2 linked regions of the Oryctolagus cuniculus genome follow. The protein of the gene in region 1 interacts with the protein of each later gene in a biochemical or structural test. Links are inferred from orthologs where the notes say so. Each region holds a gene or a part of one and is shown on either strand. Other genes may lie near its edges.

What was found.
Region 2: of the proteins of TOP2A (region 1) and PIAS4, one has a biochemical effect on the other in vitro, tested with the Homo sapiens proteins (2 studies listed by BioGRID). The link is inferred for Oryctolagus cuniculus from reciprocal best matches to the Homo sapiens genes TOP2A and PIAS4.

What each region holds. Positions count from the first base shown.
Region 1 is NC_091448.1:22,079,427-22,083,240, forward strand, and holds part of TOP2A (DNA topoisomerase 2-alpha), read left to right. Parts: intron 1-285; coding exon 286-411; intron 412-728; coding exon 729-839; intron 840-982; coding exon 983-1,088; intron 1,089-1,167; coding exon 1,168-1,277; intron 1,278-1,609; coding exon 1,610-1,702; intron 1,703-2,049; coding exon 2,050-2,164; intron 2,165-2,253; coding exon 2,254-2,375; intron 2,376-3,814. UniProt on the Homo sapiens protein: Key decatenating enzyme that alters DNA topology by binding to two double-stranded DNA molecules, generating a double-stranded break in one of the strands, passing the intact strand through the broken strand, and religating the broken strand.
Region 2 is NC_091447.1:59,284,304-59,287,984, reverse strand, and holds part of PIAS4 (E3 SUMO-protein ligase PIAS4), read left to right. Parts: intron 1-752; coding exon 753-837; intron 838-1,693; coding exon 1,694-1,735; intron 1,736-1,821; coding exon 1,822-1,912; intron 1,913-1,987; coding exon 1,988-2,116; intron 2,117-2,496; coding exon 2,497-2,602; intron 2,603-3,313; coding exon 3,314-3,387; intron 3,388-3,471; coding exon 3,472-3,632; intron 3,633-3,681.

The sequences.
Region 1 (3,814 bases):
GCGCGCCGGCCGCGGCGGCCATTGGAGGGTGAACCAACGGCAAAGGAAGACCTTTCTCTCTGTCTCTCTCACTGTCCACTCTGCCTGTCAAAAAAAAAAAAAAAAAAATTGTGTACATTGTAGCATACCCTAATAGATCTTTCTGACTTATTGAATTATAGGCTAATGCCTATAATTCAAAATATTGAAGCTCAAAAAAACCCAAGCAATACATACTGTTATAATTCTTTGTTCTTTTCAAATTTATAAAAATTATTATTTGGGGGGGACATATGTCTATTTCAGATTATGGAAAATGCTGAAATTAACAATATTATCAAGATTGTGGGTCTTCAGTACAAGAAAAACTATGAAGATGAAGATTCATTAAAGACTCTTCGTTATGGGAAGATAATGATTATGACAGATCAGGTCAGATTTGTTATTAAGTAGTTTAGATTGTTAAACACAATTAAGCGTATCTTATTGTTACATTGCTTTCCTGCCATAATAATAAGTTATTTAAGTAGCTTTATTCATTATCTCTAATAAATTTCTAATCTTGTGTCTTGTGCCTATATACTAAATATATAGATTAAATGAGTCTGAATTTGAATAGCTCTTTTTTAAATCGTTTGTTTTAAGTTATTCCCATAGAAGGTTTTTTGAGAAATTGCCAGTAGTTCAATTATAATTTTGCTTAGTTTCAAAATAATCCTTTTGTACTTTATCTTTCCAAATATTTCTAGGACCAAGATGGTTCCCATATCAAAGGCTTGCTGATTAATTTTATCCATCACAACTGGCCTTCGCTTCTGCGACATCGTTTTCTGGAAGAATTTATCACTCCAATTGTAAAGGTATGCTAATTTCTGCGATACCAGAGTGAATATTTTAAGGTCCTTTTCCTCAAACCTGATGTATACATAACCCCAGTGATGTGAGGTGGTATGCAAGGGACTCCACAGAATGCAAAGCCACAGCAATGTGCACTTCCTCACAGGTATCGAGAAACAAGCAAGAAATGGCATTCTATAGCCTTCCCGAATTTGAAGAATGGAAGAGTTCTACTCCAAATCATAAAAAGTGGAAAGTCAAGTATTACAAAGGTTTGTATTGAAACCATATAGAAATTCTCATTTTGTTATATACCATTGTACAATATTTATATGGGTGTTCATTTCGTAGGTTTGGGCACTAGCACATCAAAGGAAGCTAAAGAATACTTTGCAGATATGAAGAGACATCGTATCCAGTTCAAATATTCTGGTCCTGAAGATGATGCTGCAATCAGCCTGGTGAGTCTGAGTTGTAATTTTTATATATATATATATATATATATATATATATATATATATATATATATATAAATGAGTTGTAATATATATATATTATATACACTTATATATATATTCTAATTTTAGAAAGCACTGCTGTAACTATTCAATCAACATGTAAGTTTTTATGTGAGTGTTTTGTAAAATAGAATATTTCTAGTAAGTATATTCCATAGAAGGACCCAGTTTATTTTAGATAACAGGATTTTTGTTCTTGGTTGGTTGTTTTTATGAGAGAAAGATTTTAGAACCTGTTAGTGCCACTGACATATTTTTCCTTTTCTAATTTGTAGGCCTTTAGCAAAAAGCAAATAGATGATCGAAAAGAATGGTTAACTCATTTCATGGAGGATAGAAGACAACGAAAGTTACTTGGCCTTCCTGAGGTAACAATTTTAAATATATTCCACGAAATGCACTATTTGATAGAGCTTTTAGGATTGATACTATAGCAAATTACACTTACTGAATACTTATTTCAGTAAAAATTTAATATAATAACTATATAAATTTTCTTATTTCAACTGCTGGGTGAATGTATGAGGCCTGAAAGAAATTACAAAGGTGATGCATTCTTTTTCTAATTGTGCAACAATTAAATTCGTTTTTAATTTTTAAAACATAAATACTTCCACATAATTTATATTTTATATTTTATTTCTGTGTCTTATTAAGACCAGTGATTTTTTTTTTAAACTAAATCATGTAATACTTACCCTCTTTGATCCCTCAGGATTACTTATATGGGCAAACCACCACATATCTGACATACAATGACTTCATAAACAAAGAACTTATCCTCTTCTCAAATTCTGATAATGAGAGATCTATCCCGTCAATGGTAGATGGTGAGTTCCAATTTGTTGGTATAATTTTATTGTAAAGTAGAAATCAGTACCCAGAAATGGCTAACTATTTGCCCGTCTTCATTTTACAGGTTTGAAACCAGGGCAGAGAAAGGTTTTGTTTACTTGTTTCAAACGGAATGACAAGCGAGAAGTGAAGGTTGCCCAGTTAGCTGGGTCAGTGGCAGAAATGTCTTCTTACCATCATGGTGAGGTAAACAGACAATCCATATTTCCAAAAAGCATTACAGCAGAAATCTGCAAAATCATTCTCCAAACATGTTTGGCAGAAATGTAAGATGGTATATCCATAATAGAGAACAATTTGGTAAAATCTATCAAGCTATAAAATGTGCTTGCCTTTGATCTAACCATTGTATTTCTATAGAAATAATATTCCTACAAGGATATTCATAAATATGCAAGGTGTTCAAAGATATTTAATGATGCATATTATAACTTGGTTAGGTGAAAATTTGACATCCAAAATATTCATTGACTGGCAAATTATTATATTAAAATGTGACATATGCAGGCATGGAATCTATGATATAACTTAAGTAAAAATGTATGCACTAACACTGAAGAGGGGCCGGCACCATAGCTCTCCTGGTTAATCCTCCGCCTGTGGCGCTAGCATCCCATATGGGCGCCGGGTTCTAGTCCTGGTTGCTCTTCTTCCAGTCCAGCTCTCTGCTATGGCCCGGGAGGGCAGTGGAGGATGGCCCAAGTGCTTGGGCCCTGCACCCACATGGGAGACCAGGAGGAAGCACCTGGCTCCTGGCTTTGGATTGGCGTTTGGAGGGTGAATCAACGGAAGGAAGACCTTTCTCTCTGTCTCTCTCTCTCACTGTCTAACTCTGTCAAATAAATTAAAAAACAAACAAACAAACAAACACTGAAGAATCACCATGGTATGTCAGATAGGAAAATAGAGGCAGAATTCTTTCTTTCTTTTTTTTTTTTTTTTTTTTTTTAAATATTTATTTATTTGAAAGAGTTCAGAGTTACAGAGAGAGGTGGAGCCAGAGAGAAAGAGAGGTCTTCTTTCTGCTGGTTCACTCCCAATGGCCGCAACGGCCAGAGCTGAGCTGATCAGGAGCCAGGAGTTTCCTCGGGGTCTCCCACGAGGGTGCAGGGGCCCAAGCACTTGGGCCATCTTCTACTGCTTTCCCAGGCCATAGCAGAGAGGATCAGAAGTAGAGCAACCAGGACTCGAACCAGCACCCATATGGGATGCCAGTGCTGCAAGCCAGGGGTTTAACCTGCTGCACCACAGCACTGCCTCCCCACTTTTTTAAGAAAAAAATATTTACTTACTCATTTGAAAGAAAGAGTTACACAGAGAGAGAGATCATCCATTCTGTAATTCACTCCCCAAACGGCCACAATGGCCCAGGCTAAGCCAGGCTGAAGCCAGAATCCTGAAACTCATCTGGGTCTCCCACATGGGTGCAGGGGCCCAAGTATTTGCACCATCTTCTGCTGCTTTCCCAGGTGCATTAGTAGGGAGCTGGATTGGAAGTGCAGCAGCCTGGATAGGAACTGATAGCTATATAGGATGCTGTCATCACAGTCAGCAGCTTAACCTGCTGTACCACAATGCCAGCCCCCAAGGCCGAAGAATTCTTACAGCAAAGTGTCTAGCAGGTT
Region 2 (3,681 bases), on another chromosome or scaffold:
GAAGTAGACGGTAAGGGTGTTTTGCTGCAGAAACAGAATGGAAATGCATGAGGTGTTTTTCACAATATGCGTGTTTCCGGTTTTAGGATCGAATGATTTCAAAGTCAGGGTTGCAGAGAGAAGGGGTTCCCCATCTACCGTCCCCCCCCCCGATCCCCACAGTGGCCGGGGCTGGGTCTTCCCGGTCTCCCACGCGGGGACAGGGCCCCAGCAGGGAGCGGGATGGGAGGTGCGGCGGGCGCCTCACCCGGTGCGCGGCAGGCGGCCCTCGCTCGGCGCCTGTCTGTGGGCACGTGCGTCCTCTCCCCTGGCTGCTGGGTGCCCCGGTGCCGCCCCGGCCTGGTCCTCGCTGGCGCCCGCAGCCGCGTGCGCCGGGCTCTGCTCGTCCCCTGCTCCTCTGCTGGCTTCGCCGCCCCTCCTTCCTGCCTTGCGCGGACTTTCCCTGGTTTCTCCCGGAGGCGGTCCGCGTGGTCCTGCCTTCATCTCTTCCCTTTCCCAGAAGCCCCGCAGCGGCCGCCGGCCTCCCACGCTGCCTGGCCGGCCCGTCCGGGGCGCTGTGGGCTCATTCCCGCCGCCCGCGCCTGCCAGTCCCAGTTCAGAGGGAGGGGCCTCGGCTAACCCTGCCTCCGCCCAGCGGCTGCCCGGTGACCAGAGGCCCCGCGGGAGCCAGCCCGGGGCTGCCCGGGCCTCGCCTGATGTCGGCGGGAGGAAGGCGATGCGCCCCGCGGGCGGCTGACCCCAGCCCTCTCCAGTCCCGCAGAACAGCGAGAAACTGCAGGAGAGCCCGTGCATCTTCGCCCTGACGCCCCGGCAGGTGGAGCTGATCCGGAACTCCAGGTGCGCCCCCCCTCCCCTCCCCTCCCCTCCCCGCCCCCTCCCCCTCCCCCCCAGGCAGGTGGAGCTGATCCGGAACTCCAGGTGCGCCCCCCCTCCTCTCCCCCCTCCAGTCCCCCTCCTCTCCCCTCTCCCCACCCCCGCCCTCCCCTGTCCCAGCAGGTGGAGCTGATCCGGAACTCCAGGTGCGCGTCCCCCTCCCCTCCCCCCTCTCCCTTCCCCCCTCCAGTCCCCCTCCCTCCCCAGGCAGGTGGAGCTGATCCGGAACTCCAGGTGCGCCCGGCGCCCCCCCCCCCCCGCGGCCCGCTGCCCGCCGGCCCCAGGTCACGGCGCCGCAGACCCCACGGCTGCCCCGGAACCGTGCTCCAGGCGGGGCCTTTGTCCCCGTGGCCGCCCCCCCAGGAGACCCTGCCGGCCATGGGTTCCTGCACGGCTCGCTCCTTAGGGCCGAGAAGACCCCACGTGGGAGCGTGTACGCGGGGTCCGGCGCACCCCGTCAGCCGGGCACCGCCAACTCCGGAACATTACGGCACCCCAGACAGCCCCGCCCCCACGAGCGGTTGCTCCCAGCCTCTCCTCCCCCAGCCACTTCCTGTCCCTGGATTCGCCAGGCCTGGACGTTCCTGCCCGGGAGCCCACAGGGTGGCGTGGCCTCTGCGTCTCTCCCTGGGCGTGACGTCCCCGGGGCCCCGCGCTGCGCGAGCGCCGTGTGTGCCCCGTCCCTGGCCGCCAGGGTGTGGCTCTGTCCAAGCTCGCCGCGTTCCCTGCGCAGGCCTGCGGCCCGGCTCCCACAAGGCTGCCCAAGGCTGGGGGCGGACCTGGGCAGTGACCCCGCCTCCCTCCCTCCCATCCCCCACAGAGAGCTGCAGCCCGGAGTGAAAGCCGTGCAGGTCGTGCTGAGGTAGGCCGGCGCCCCCCCCCCGCCCCCCGCCCCGCCCGCCTCCCCCCTGCCTGGCCGCAGCCCCCACAGCCCCGCTGTCCCTGCAGAATCTGCTACTCGGACACCAGCTGCCCGCAGGAGGACCAGTACCCGCCCAACATCGCGGTGAAGGTCAACCACAGCTACTGCTCCGTGCCCGTGAGTGCGCGCCCCTGCGGGCGGGCGGGCGGGCGGGGTGGGCGGGGCGTGGCCTGAGCCCGCCTCTGCCCGCAGGGCTACTACCCCTCCAACAAGCCCGGCGTGGAGCCCAAGAGGCCCTGCCGCCCCATCAACCTCACACACCTCATGTACCTGTCCTCGGCCACCAACCGCATCACCGTCACCTGGGGCAACTACGGCAAGGTGAGCGCCCCCCCGGACCCGCCCCCACCGCCGCCCTGCTGGGACACACCCCCCACCGACGCCCTGCTGGGACACGCCCCCACCGACGCCCCTATCACACCCCACCCCGCCCTGCTGGGACACGCCCCCACCACACCCCACCCCGCCCTGCTGGGACACGCCCCCACCGACGCCCCCACCACACCCCACCCCGCCCTGCTGGGACACGCCCCCACCGACGCCCCTACCACACCCCACCCCGCCCTGCTGGGACACGCCCCCACCGACACCCCCACCACACCCCACCCCGCCCTGCTGGGACACGCCCCCACTGACACCCCCCACCCCACCCTGCGGGTACCCGCCCCACTCACCCCCCCGCTGACGCCCCCGCCCCCCAGAGCTACTCGGTGGCGCTGTACCTGGTGCGGCAGCTGAGCTCGGCGGAGCTGCTGCAGCGGCTGAAGACCATCGGGGTGAAGCACCCGGAGCTGTGCAAGGCGCTGGGTGAGCCCCGCGGCGGGCGGGCGGGCGGGCGGGCGGGGCTCCCAGCGGACCACGCCCCGGGCTCCGCATTCACGCCAGGGCGGGCGGGCTCCCAGCGGACCACGCCCCGGGCTCCGCATTAGCGCCAGGGCGGGCGGGTGGGCTCCCAGCGGACCACGCCCCGGGCTCCCAGCGGACCACGCCCCGGGCTCCGCATTCGCGCCAGGGCGGGCTCCCAGCGGACCACGCCCCGGGCTCCGCATTCGCGCCAGGGCTGGCGGGCGGGGCGGGAGGGCCACGCTGGGGGCTCCCAGCCCTGGGTCCGTGCAGGGGCCTGGAGGCTCTGGGCCTCCTACGACATCCCGTGCCCAGGCAGGGAAAGGGAAGGGGCCGGGCCCCGCCCCTGTTGTCCGGGCTCAGCGAGGTGGGGGCTGCAGGAGCCTCCTGGGCCCCCACAGCAGGGTCACGGGGGTGGGGGGGCTGCCTGTGCTGTCACTCATCCCCAGGGGGTCTCCGGGGTGGGGGTGGGGGTCTCCGGGGTAGCTCTGCCCAGGTTCTCCAGGAAAGCCCGAGGGCCGGGACGCGTGCCCCTGGGCTGGGCCTGGACCCAGTGGCCACTGGCAGCCCTTGTCCCAGACGCCACCAGGGCCCTGGGCCGGCTGGAGAAGACCCGAATCCCGACCTGCCTGCCCCTGCCCTCTGCCCTCTGACCTCGCCCTCTGCCTCCCCCAGTCAAAGAGAAGCTGCGGCTGGACCCGGACAGTGAGATCGCCACCACCGGCGTGCGCGTCTCCCTCATCTGCCCCGTGAGTCGCCCTCGGCCCCGCCCCGCCCCGCCCCCGCCGGCCTCGGTGCGGGCCGGCCGGCCGCTGACGCCCCACTGCCCCCAGCTGGTGAAGATGCGGCTGACGGTGCCCTGCCGCGCCGAGACGTGCGCCCACCTGCAGTGCTTCGACGCCGTCTTCTACCTGCAGATGAATGAGAAGAAGCCCACCTGGACCTGCCCCGTGTGCGACAAGCCGGCGCCCTACGACCAGCTCATCATCGACGGGTGAGTCCCGGCGCCGGCCGGAGTCTGGCTTCTCCCACGTCAGGCAGGG